Drosophila melanogaster: one gene and its partner. Changing the gene in region 1 together with any one later gene gives a genetic interaction. Each region holds a gene or a part of one and is shown on either strand. Other genes may lie near its edges. The genes, in order: FMRFa and wit.

Evidence for each region.
Region 2: of FMRFa (region 1) and wit, changing one suppresses a phenotype caused by changing the other (phenotypic suppression), as found in Drosophila melanogaster (one study listed by BioGRID).

What each region holds. Positions count from the first base shown.
Region 1 is NT_033778.4:9,904,333-9,911,101, reverse strand, and holds FMRFa (FMRFamide), read right to left. Parts: upstream 4,809-6,769; 5' UTR 4,701-4,808; intron 1,964-4,700; coding exon 920-1,963; 3' UTR 645-919; downstream 1-644. UniProt on the Drosophila melanogaster protein: In insects, FMRFamide and related peptides have modulatory actions at skeletal neuromuscular junctions, and peptides that are immunologically related to FMRFamide are released into the circulation from neurohemal organs.
Region 2 is NT_037436.4:4,068,419-4,073,666, forward strand, and holds the start of wit (wishful thinking), read right to left. Parts: upstream 3,300-5,248; 5' UTR 2,991-3,299; intron 1,864-2,990; exon of another isoform or gene 1,765-1,863; coding exon of another isoform or gene 1,285-1,764; intron 1,223-1,284; coding exon of another isoform or gene 1,211-1,222; exon of another isoform or gene 1,071-1,210; intron 1,044-1,070; exon of another isoform or gene 951-1,043; intron 1-950. Other genes in the region: CG32259 (uncharacterized protein), read left to right, coding at 1,211-1,222, 1,285-1,764; Faa (fumarylacetoacetase), read right to left, coding at 3,667-4,013, 4,072-4,673, 4,734-4,951.

The DNA of each region.
Region 1 (6,769 bases):
CAAGTTGGACTTTAGACCCGTCCACCAGATGACGTAGCTCCGTCCAAAGTTCGTTGGCAGTATTTACTGTTCGCCTATGTGTATTCAGCACTAGAGATTACCAACTTGGAATCGAAATAAACTAATCAAACTGAAAAATAAAGCTGTTTGGTTTCTATTCTTAAGCCAGCGGTTTCTTAATGCTTACAGCTGGGCGATAAGAATGAGTGGTACTAAAAATGACCACTCTCCACGGACTCGACCCATCTTGATAAACTGGTATACAAAAGAGATTCTAGCGATGTCACAAACCGGACCAGAGTTGTCAAGCATTTGAGAGTGGTTATCATTCGAACATGAAAACAGTTTTCAATTCATTTCTAACTTTCCTTGTATAGAAAAGGAGTATATATTAAATCATCAATACATAAAATATTAGATGCATATTAGATTAAATTTGATAATGGTAAAATCCTAATTCATATTAAATAATATAACTAAATGATAGATGAAGAAATATAGTAAACGGTAGACATATTTTGATACTGGTTACAAGAGTATCCAATGTACTTATGGTTGTAGAACTCCAGATTCTGACCAGTGGAGAAACTAATAATGGCTATACAATATGTACCTCGACCGAAATGAAATAAGACTATTCGAGTGCGCTATAATTTACAGTAAAGCAATCTTTATTTAAAATGTTGCCACAGGATTTTATTCACGCCAATTTCAATTTCTTCAATATTACACTAGATATATTTATAGATAAGAACTTCAAAGCACGGTGAATTTTTAATCCAGCCCATTCATTAAAAATTCATAGTTCAGGCATAAGTCAGGAGTTCGTGTGAGGAGTGGGTTATATACGTATATCAATTTAGATCCTTGCGTACATTTGTCCATATCTATTTACAAGGAGGCGTCCCGCAGGACTACCTCACTGGCCGAAGAACTGGTCCTGTTCCACACTCCCATCCTGCGTGGTGGTCGCCTGTGCGCCGTTCTTCACCTGCTGATCCTGCAGCTCCTGTTTCTTGAACAGCTCCGTCATGGCCTTGTCCACTGGACTGCGTTCGCCTGGGTTGCCTTGATTGGACTTGACTGGCTTGGACTCGGGAGCCGCCGGCTTCAAGCTCTTACCGAATCGAATGAAGTTTGAGTCCATCTTCCCGGAGCGCACAAAATCCTGCGGAGCGGAACGCCCGAAGCGCATGAAGTTGTCCGGGCGACCGAATCGCATGAAATCCTGTTTGGGACTGCGAAGCTCCTCGTGGGGACTGCGTCCGAAGCGCATGAAATTGTCGGAGCGTCCGAACCTCATGAAGTCCTCCGCCGGAGTGCGTCCGAACCTCATGAAATCCTCAGCCGGAGTGCGTCCAAACCTCATGAAATCCTGCTTGGGATCTCGACCGAATCTCATGAAATCCTGCTTGGGATCCCGACCGAATCTCATGAAGTCCTGCTTTGGATCCCTGCCAAACCTCATGAAGTCCTGTTTCGGATCCCGACCAAACCGCATGAAGTCCTGCTTGGGATCTCTGCCATACCGATCCATAGCTGCTCGCTTGGCCATGCCCTCCAGTTCATCGGATTCAGCATAGCTGCCCTCCGGTGGCAGCTGCTCCGCCTGCCTCTTGCCGAAGTGCATGAAGTTGTCCTGCACGGACCTTCGCTTGGCCTCCAGCTCGGGATCGTACTTGTAGCGCGGTTTCCGGCCGTGTTTCTGGAAGTGCAGCACCACGGCGTTCTTCGAGTAGTCGATGCCAATCACAGAGATGGGGTGCCGGAACTCCAGCTCCGCCCTCTCGGTCTGATCGTTGCCGAGCAGTGCATCTACCAGGTCATTGTCCTGCGGTGGACTCACCTCGGAGTCAGCGTCCTGCAACGAGTTGCCCGCATAGTTGGGCGTATCGATGATCTCGCTGTGGATGGCCGACTGCATCTGGTACAGGGCCAGCAGGAACATCAAGGCAATGCCCATCTGCAAGGATAAGAATGGAGTGACGGCAGGATAATTATGAGGCGGCGGCATCTCGCGTTATCTATTGCAACTTTTAATCACATTAAGACCGTTCGTTTTACTTAGGGTAACAGTAGCCACCGGCAGCCAGGACGCGCAGACAAAGTGTCCTGCTAATTAACCATCATGATATTTATGGCCAGATCTGTTGGGCCGGCGCGTTAAAAGTTAACCAGCCGCATTAAAACCACAACAATGGCATGCCACGACAATGGGCCCTCACACCCACTTAGCCACCCACTTAGCCACCACCACTCATCCACCCACATCGGCATATAACCAGGTTTACAGGCATTAACACTTGTTCGGAAAGCCCGGCGAAGTGGGCGATGAGAGGAAGTGCCAGGGGAGCAGGGCGGTTGATGTATGGTGTCCGGACGAGGACGACGACGCCAGCACCATTAGAGATGCAAATGATTATGGCTTTTGGATATGGTGACGGCTCAGCCTGCGAGGCCTGCTCAAGGCAAGCTGATCCACTGAGTGCCGTGTCAGCGCATTGTGAACGTGGCATCTGCAACAGGTTGCAGCTACCAGGTAGCAGGACCTAGCGGCACTCATGAGTGTTCAAAATTGAATAGCCAGGTCCATTGGGGATGGTACAAAGGTGCGCTGCTGTACTTCACTTTCTTCTCTCTGATGTGACTGAAAACACATAAAACATTGGGGTCACCAAACCCTTTTCGCCTGCTAATATTTCTATCTTGGCTAAGATTGCTAATGCTGCACGTCTGCTTGATGGTATTCAATCAACTGATGACACACAACTAAAACATTAGTCATTAAATTTTAGTTACCACTTTAAAATCTGGGCGTCAACTTTCTGCAAGCCCTGTTAACGTGGGGATATGGCTAACAAATCTTCATGCTAAATGCCACTCTTTCGCTTCTCAACTCATAGATAATAATCGTTATTATCTGCCATCTTTATGTGGCTATATTTACTTTCTTTCGTTTTCAAAAATATTGAAATGTGTTTTGCAATGGCTGCAACAATGTTGCAGGAAGTGGAAAATCAGGGGTTTTCCCAACCGCCAGCCAGTGGTCAATTAGCACTTCTGTGCCGTCGATGTTTGAGTGCTCCGTTTGGATAAATTAAAAACTTGCCCAGACAACTCACAACAAAAACTTGACCTCCAAGTCGCCGTCTGATGAGCAAACTTCGCAACCACGAGCATTAACATACTTTCGGCGGTACTCGCTTAATTCGATGTCGGGGCGGCAATCAGAGCCGCATTCAGGCAATCGAGTGTTCAAGAGTGCGAAGACGATGGCCCAGACAAACCGTCTAAAGATTTGCATACGCACTTCTCAGCTGAGATTTTAATGGGCAACAGAGTGTTGCAGTGGCAATTGCACTTACAGTTGCATGTGCATTTGCAGCCAGCGATTGCAACAGGCGAGGGAAACTCAAGGGTCCCATAACATAAAAGAGGAAACTAGTCAAGCGTCGTTTAATTTATGGGCTCCAACTGGATATGTTGCAAGACACACTGCCGCGGCCAAAATATGACAGACAGCCTCTCCAGAGGCAAGGAGTCAGCGAATTTGAAGTGGGTAGACAACAATTGCCAAATGTCTGATTGATTTGCGATGCCGAAATGTGCATTTAAAATTCATAAATGTGACGCGCTGCCGCCTTATTTGTTTTGGGCGTAAGGCTAAAAGTCGAGGGAACCAGGAATGGGAGGTATCAATAACAAACTCGTTAATTCGCTTAGCCAGCCCGCCCAGGAATGATGGCAAATGGAAGATGGCAAGATGGTGGTAGATGGCAAATGGTAGATGGAAGATGAAACCCGGGATTCGGGGCAGGCCTAAACTGATTTGCATGGCATATGCGATACGTTTGATATCTTTGAAGTAGCTGCCCTGGCAACACCTCCAGCCGCCCGCCCGCACTACGCATCCTGGATTTGCAGGATTCATGCATGCGGAGCACATTAACCGTGGCGGGGCATTTAAATATCATTTGTCAGGCTGGAGCTGCACGTGTGGGACACCTCGGGAGACAAATGATGGGCCCGCGGGGCATTTCACTTGTCCACTGTCGGCGATAAATCAAAAATTGCACACGCTTCGCTTTACTGTTCTTGGGTTCTTGAGGTCCGGCTGTTAACACCACCATTTCCGCATTTTCCAGCGCAGGTGCGAATGCAAATGGAAATCTAGCCTCGTCCTGGGACCCAAAAGTGCACTCATAAATATTTCAATTTGCCTTCATTAACCGAAATGGCTGTTGCCATTCCCAGTGTCTGCTGGATACGAGGAAAACTATTTCCTTGTTGTTGGTTTTTCGCTCGCTCCAACTAAGTTTCCATGTGGGACGGACAGTCGAAAAGTTGACAAAACCGAATTAGTTGGCGTTAGTTTGGCAAACACTTTTGGGCCAATTAAAAATTACCCGGATTTGGGAATTATAGCATGTTATTTGACGCTTTTACGAGGCAAACTTATTAATGTACACGAAACGCAAAATGTCAAACCTCATATCCTTATATCCAACTCTATGTATTTATTCGAATAATATCATAGTAACTATTCTTTTGTGGCATAGTTGCCAATAGGCGAAAGTTACCAAGTGATTTTAGCTTTTTCATTTAAAGCAATTGCCACTAATTGGCTATTGGCTTTTCCAAAGAATAACTCGACTGCTTAAGGCTCAGCACTGTTTTCACACTTTTCGCATGGCACTCACCTCTGAAACCTGTCCCCTTACTAGGAAACTAGAGTGAATTCGAAGGTCTGGGGATCCTTTTGGGCCGCACACACACTTGTTGCCCGCTCGAAGGTGGAACAGTTCTGTGAGGATGTTTGGCGAAACATCCTGTTTTATATGCGTTGCGTCCTTTGTGCTGGCGCCCAAGGAGGCTGATGTTGAGGTGCCTCTGCGAGTGGACGCGCGCAACAAGTGCTGCGGCAACATGTTGCCAGAGGACATTCAATGGAACTGATTTTCGCTGCAGTTTTTTCTGCCTTCCGAGCGCGCTAGTCACCACCACAGATTAGCAGGTGTATTCGGGGCTGAAAAAAAAACCTTGACAATGTCGGCAAATGGTCGCTGGTCAGCCGCTGATATGTTTGTTTTGCTTGTCAGCGGTTGTCAGCGGGACAAAAGGCCAAAACACAGACCGCATTCATGCTGACTTATTAGCCAAGAAGCACGAGGGGCAGCAACAATGACGTAGCAACATTTCGACGCCAGTTAGGTGGCCACTCGAGCACCAAATTGTATGCAAATCGCCCACAATTGTTATGTTACGCCCACTTTTAAGTCGACTGTGGGATGAGCAGGGACATCCTGGCCGGGCACGTCCAATTAGCCTTCTAGCCAGTGGATCGACTACGTGTCCGTATGCGTTATAATTTGCCATTGCCGTCGCGGCGTTTATGGCGCTTTATGGCCCTGTAACCTGTAACAGGATACATTGTGGCGCCTCTGGCATCTCGTCCAGCACCCGAAACCACCCCATCCCAGCCAGCTTTTCAAGACTCGACTCTTGGGTGGGGCTGAAAAAACTGTTCAAAAGACGGAAGTCTGTAATTACGGCCCGGCAAAAGGCCAAAGTTTTGGAGACGAGTCTCATCAATGGCATTTGGCTATTGTCCACCACGCATGACTGGGCAGAAATGTGTCGGGTTTTTGGACAGGTTTATTGGGTGTCCACTGCTCTTGTTGACGATCACCCATAATCAATATAAATACGTTCGAAAACCACGTCTGCAGATGGCTTCATTAGCATAAGTAGATGCGAAAATCGAAAATGAAAACGAATTAGAAGGCAATGTGATAAGGCGAGACTAGTTCAAGTTCAAATCTTGGCTTGAGTTTGATGACCAGGCCAAGTCGTGTGCCAATCGCCCAGTTAAAAATAGTTCAGCTAGACCATCATCTGGTCAAGAAAACTGCGCTGCTCTGTAATCTATGGACTCACCCCAGAAGCTTTTATTGTTAATTCATTTGCATTTGTATGCCTTAAATTTATAAATATCTTCGAATTTAAATAAAACTTGTTGTTTACTTCACTGATGACTTTTGTTTTTTGTAAAAGACCTCATATTATGCACGCCATAAAAAAATAAGATTCTTGCATAGTATTTTTTTATAAGTTTTATAACCCAAATGATGTGGTAACTTTGAAGTCAACCCCATGTTTAGTTGTTAGTTACATATTTTCGGCTAATTCTATCTTAAAAGTATATGTCCACATTTAATCAGTTGCAAAGTCTAAGCTTTAAACAACTGTAACAATGAGGTTATATATATTATTAAAGTGTAACTTTTATAGATATCTGTTTTCATTTTGTTACTTATGGAAAATATTTCTTTATGAATCTGATTGCTTGTTGTGTAATGGAAAACAGATATTTTATTACGTACAAGGTCCGAACAATAAGCAACTTTTGTTAATAATCAAAACTAGTTTGTCATAGTACTCAGTTTATTCTTTATTATCAGTACTCGCCATAACTGATTTAAAAGGTTAGGCAGCTTAATACAACCATATTGATTGAAAATATATTGAAATATAAGAATATTTTTAACTTCGAGCCTACATGTGAGTATCTCGTGGCATTTTTTATGCTTCTGGCCAAAACGCTAGTTGAGCAGAGGTCAGGTCAACTGACCAACAGGCCGCTTCGCACTCGCATCTTGGCCACTTTGATTAGCCCGATTAGGTGCAGCCCTGGCTGAAAATATACCTAATAAAATAGATGCTGCGACGCTGTTTCGATGTCAATGCCATTGTCAATTCACGGCTGCTG
Region 2 (5,248 bases), on another chromosome or scaffold:
CTCTGGTCCCCACCACAAAAATCTCACATTCGGTTGGCGTATCAATAGACGATGACAATTCGCGAGCTCTCCGTCTATATCAAGTCGACCCGCCGATGATAATGGCCAGACCCAAATACTCGCACAGCTCCACAATCGAACACTACCGATCGCCAAGCGTCTCCATCAAAGTCTGTCTACGTTGCGGGGGCTGGGGGGATCAAATGAGGGAACCACAAGCACCCACCCACTCCAAGTCTCGAGGGAACGGTTGCACTTTGGAACCGATTTGGAACCAGGCGCCGCCAGAATAGGAATCATTTCACTTGAGGCTCGATTGCAGTGTGGAGCATCTAGATGGAACTGCGAGAATATATTTACACAATTGTGTACCCCTATGAATGAACTACCTTTAATTTATCCCCCTTATCATCCATTAACGAAAGGTACATATGTACATATGTATATAAGCACGCATTCTTGAAAACACTCCACCTCACACTCGTTTCCCCCCTGAATGCTGATTAGAAATTTTGCCGTCATTAATTATGTGGCTGGTTAAAGTTATTACGCTCCAATTATAGGATACGTTAGCTTGTCTTATACATATAAATACATATGTATGTACACACTGGCAAATAAAAATGTGTTTATACCTAGCTGGTAACAAATTTGCATCGGCGGCATTTGGGTTAATTGTGGGTGACGAGGCATGAAATTTAAGCCAAGATAAGCAATTTATCAGACAGTTCAGGATAGACTTATCATGCGATTACGGCTATTGTTTATGGCATTTTCCATTCAAGAAATTCATGCAAGTGAATCAAGAATGAAAGCAAAAGCGCGATATGTTGATTTACAAAAAATCTAGCATTAAATAAATACTAGATTATTTCGCCATAGATGGTGACAACTCTGGTAGGGGTTGATGAACTGTCAAAATGTTTGACAGTTCCTTTTGCCTGAAACAGCTGACCAACAGCTAATAGAATTATTCAGCAATTTTTGCAGAGAACGATTCGATTCGATTTTGTGGGATTGCTAATTTTATTATCCAGCACGCTGTAAGTTACTTGTCAAATCGATATCATAGAATATCCAACTAACTATTTCATTCTGAACTCGAATGTCATGAGTGGAGAACTTGTGTTCGTTTACTTCATTTTCTGGATTGCAGTGAATTTTATTGGCTTCGTCATTGTGCTTAACTATTTTGCAACTCTTCAGAAAGATGAATAAGATGGTATGTTGTTGGTTAATTGTGTCCTGAGTGCATTCATATTCCATTTACCACATTTCATGCAGAACCCAAATCGTAGCAATAAGGATTCGGACACCACTGAGGATTCCAACGCGAAGAAGAGTTTGCAAATGGATTCCGATTCATCAGACGTGTCGAAAGATTACTGTGATGGTTCAGATGAGAACGAGGAGTCCGACCCATCATCAGGTTCCTCACAGGATTCGATAACTGAAAAATTAGCGAAAGCCATATTAGAGGCCAATCTAAGCGAGGACTCTGACTCTTCATCGGGTTCTTCAGAGCACTCTCCAGCTCAAGAAATACCAATACCAGAAGCCTTGTTGGAAGTGGATCCAAATGATCAGCAGTCGGTTGTCAATGCAGTCGGACTTTTGGTTAACATGATTAACTCCAAACTGGATGCTATCATGTCGAAAGTCGTCCCGCAATCACCACTTGATCTTGTCGACCTCGTCCGCCAGAAAAAACTTTGGAAGATGCGTCAACGCGATAAAGCCCAGTTGAAGAAAAGCTCCGAATAGAATATTTTCTGTTCCTTTTCCATTTTCGTACAATATTTCTTGTATCATGATTATAATAATGTTCAATTTATAGAGCAATTATAATTTCGAAGGGACGCTATTTCTGGCCTTTCTTTTCTCCCATTTCGCTTCTGGTTTCCTCTCCTTTCTCCACTTTCAGCAAATGCGCACATGAAGAGAACTCAAGAAGCTAGAGAGCGGTGTCTCTGGCGCGCCAAAACAGGTTCAACTGGCGCTGTCCCAAGTGCTCCGTGGAGTGGGCCGAAGGAGGACCCGCGGGCGAGGAGGCGGAACCCGCCGGCTGCTCTCGCACGATAGCCGACGGCGCCAGTTAATTGCAAATACTGCTCGATACCCTACACTTGTCAGGGTGTACCCAACACGCTCTAAAACTATCTTGCATTAAAATCTTGCACCAATAAATTTTCCTAATACTTATGAATTAAGAAAAATCACATTGTAACACAGGAACCTATGTTAGTTTATAGTTCGTTTTATCACAGGGTATAAAACTGTCTTTAGGCTCACATTCTCCTTCGCTGTTAGTGTGTTTTGGGCCCCACCGTTTTGTTGTTCTTTGGGGCCTGATTAACTTTTTGCGTGCTGCGTGTGCATTTGTCCATGTCCCCATCCTCAGACACATCCGCGCCATTCGGGGGATACATCTTCGTGCTGCAGATGCATTTGGCCAAACTGCGACAGTCGGTGTAAAAAACGATGTGGAAAATCAATGCAAAAACACAAAAGTGCATGCAGTCGGCGGAGGACAGCAAGAACAACAATGGCGAAGGGAATTTGAATGGGTATGGATTCGGAGGTCTCTTGTTGACTTCATTCCACACAGTAAACAAATGGGTTGTATATTATTTTATAATGTATCCAAAATACGAATAATTTCAATGGCCCCTTGATCCTACTACTCGAACGCAATTGTTCTACATACATATCTTTAAAGAACATCCATATGCATACTATGTGATAATGTGCAAAAGATATTAACATTTCTAACAGTGCATGTGTACTGTGAGCAGACAGAGTGTTTTCTGCCAGGGTGGGTGGCCCACCCCAACCCGCCGTCTGCCCTTCGCTAGTCAGCGTATTTGTGTGTGTGTACTTGCGCAGAGTGGAGTAAAAAATTGATTTTTCCAAGACATTCAGCGTTGTTTGCGGAAAACATTTGCACTATTCTGCACTAATTTTAATTTCAATTTGCGAGCAGCACTTACACTTAATTCAGGGCGCTATTCAACCACTGCACTTGCACTTTAAGTTGTATTACTTATTTATTTCTTTTGTTTTAAATAACCGAAAGAAGTTGCACACTCGTCGGAAAATTTATTATTGGGGCACCGGCGCCAGTCGCGTCTGCTTTGCGCTGCACGGCAGCTTTTTTTATTTCTACGCTTTTTAGAGGCTTTTTTATGGCACTTTAAACAAGTTTGCCCGATAGGCGGGCCGTTTTGCCTTTCTGCCGTTTTGCCGTTTGACTTTTCGCAGCGCGCCCACCTTCGCCCGCCGACTTTCGAGGAATGAATGCGGTTTGCTGCTCCGCTCAGCTATGCTCCCATTGGCGCTCTCCGCTCTTCTCTGCAGCCAAAGAAGAAGCGGCGTGCGCGTATTTACGAAGCTGCGTGGAATGGCAGAGGCTCCGATTGGAGCGAGAGTTGTGTAAACGAAAGAGAGCAAGGCATCGTAGCGAGAGAGCGAAAGAGTTGAGCACTTGTTGAGCTTATTACTGTGCACCGAGAAAAAATATTACGTATACGCTACTATGGATGGCCATTTATCCCAAAAAGTATGCTTTTGAACGAAAAGTTGAAGTTTTCCGAACATCATAATGTATTGACGTATCCAGGAAGACTGAATAGAATTTATTTCATTTACTTATGTTAATAAGTGGTCCTACTGCGGAACGGGGTGGGCAGGCAGCACCTGACCCACACACTCCCCGAATCCGATTCGCAGTCCGTTCTTTTCGCAGTGGCCACGGATGATGACCTCGTCAAAGTCCTGGAGGAATTTTCTGGTCTTACCACCCGGAAGCTCCAATGTTTTGGTGCCCTTCCAGCAGAGCTCTAAAAGTGATCCGTACGAGTCTGGAGTCTCACCGGAGATCGTTCCGGAGGCCATCAGATCACCAGGACGCAGATTACAACCGGTGACTGTGTGATGAGCGATTTGCTGCAGTGGAGTCCAATAAAGGTGTTTGAAGTTCGACTTTGAAATAAGCGCTTCGTTTTGATCGGCGGCTGAGAAGGGGAAATTTTGTGAATTAACGTAACAAATCTTTAACAGGCGGCAACTTACGTTTCAAAGACACCTCGAGGTTGATATCAAAGTTAAAGGGAATGTTCTGGCGCAGATAGGGAAGCACCTCCGGTTCCTGAGGAAAGTTGTCCAAGACGAAGGGCTTCAGGGCAGCTGTGGGCACTACCCAAGGGGAGATGGTGGTTCCCAGATTCTTTGCGGTGAAGGGGCCCAGTGGCACATATTCCCACTTCTGAATATCCCTGGCACTCCAGTCGTTCATCAGCGTGAAACCGAACACGTTCTTCCAGGCCTCATCCACGCGTATGGGTTCACCCAGCTGATTTCCCTTACCACCGATAAAGAAAGCCATTTCTAGTTCGAAATCCAGAAGCTTGCAGGCGCCAAAGACGGGCTTCTCTGCTCCATCGGGAAACGTTTGACCAAGAGGACGACGGATGGGAGTACCGGAAACCACCACAGAACTTGCACGACCATGATAGCCCACCGGCAGATGGCGCCAGTTGGGCATCAGAGCATTGTCTGGTCCACGGAACATAATGCCGACATTGGTGGCATGGTGGATGGATGAGTAAAAGTCTGTATAGTCACCAATCTGTGCAGGCAGGTGCAGCTTGATCTCAGACTGTGGCACAATGGAACTGATAAATAAATAAATTATTAACTATGAATAATAAATTATTATAATAAATCCGACTTACACCGCCTTCAAGTCCACATTGTGGTCCAATTCTGAACCCTTCGTCAATAGCTTTTGAGTCTGGCTTCTTACCACATCCCAAGCTTCAAAGTCCAATCCCATAAGCTCATTCAAAGTTTCGGCCTGCAGGCTTTTCTGAACTTGGAAAGGAAACAACTGCGAGACAGCTTTCAGGTCCAGGACATGCTCTCCAATGGCCACACAAATACGGTGAACTTTCTACGGATGGTAAGATGAAAAACACCATTTACGATATACAAATACGATATATGATATGGGGCCTTATCAGAACCTGGTTGCTGGGGTATTAAAGATTGGATTAGCATATTGTTTTCGTAAACAAACTAGTTTGTCTTGGATGATGTATGCAAATGCTATGCCCCAAAGCGGTTTCTGTTCTAAAGTTGATTTCTAGAACATGTGGAACGATCCAAAGTCACATGAAACTGAAGAAAAACTTGAAAATATTACACGGAAAACAGGCTGAGTTAAAGGAACATTTGCTTTGCCATTTAC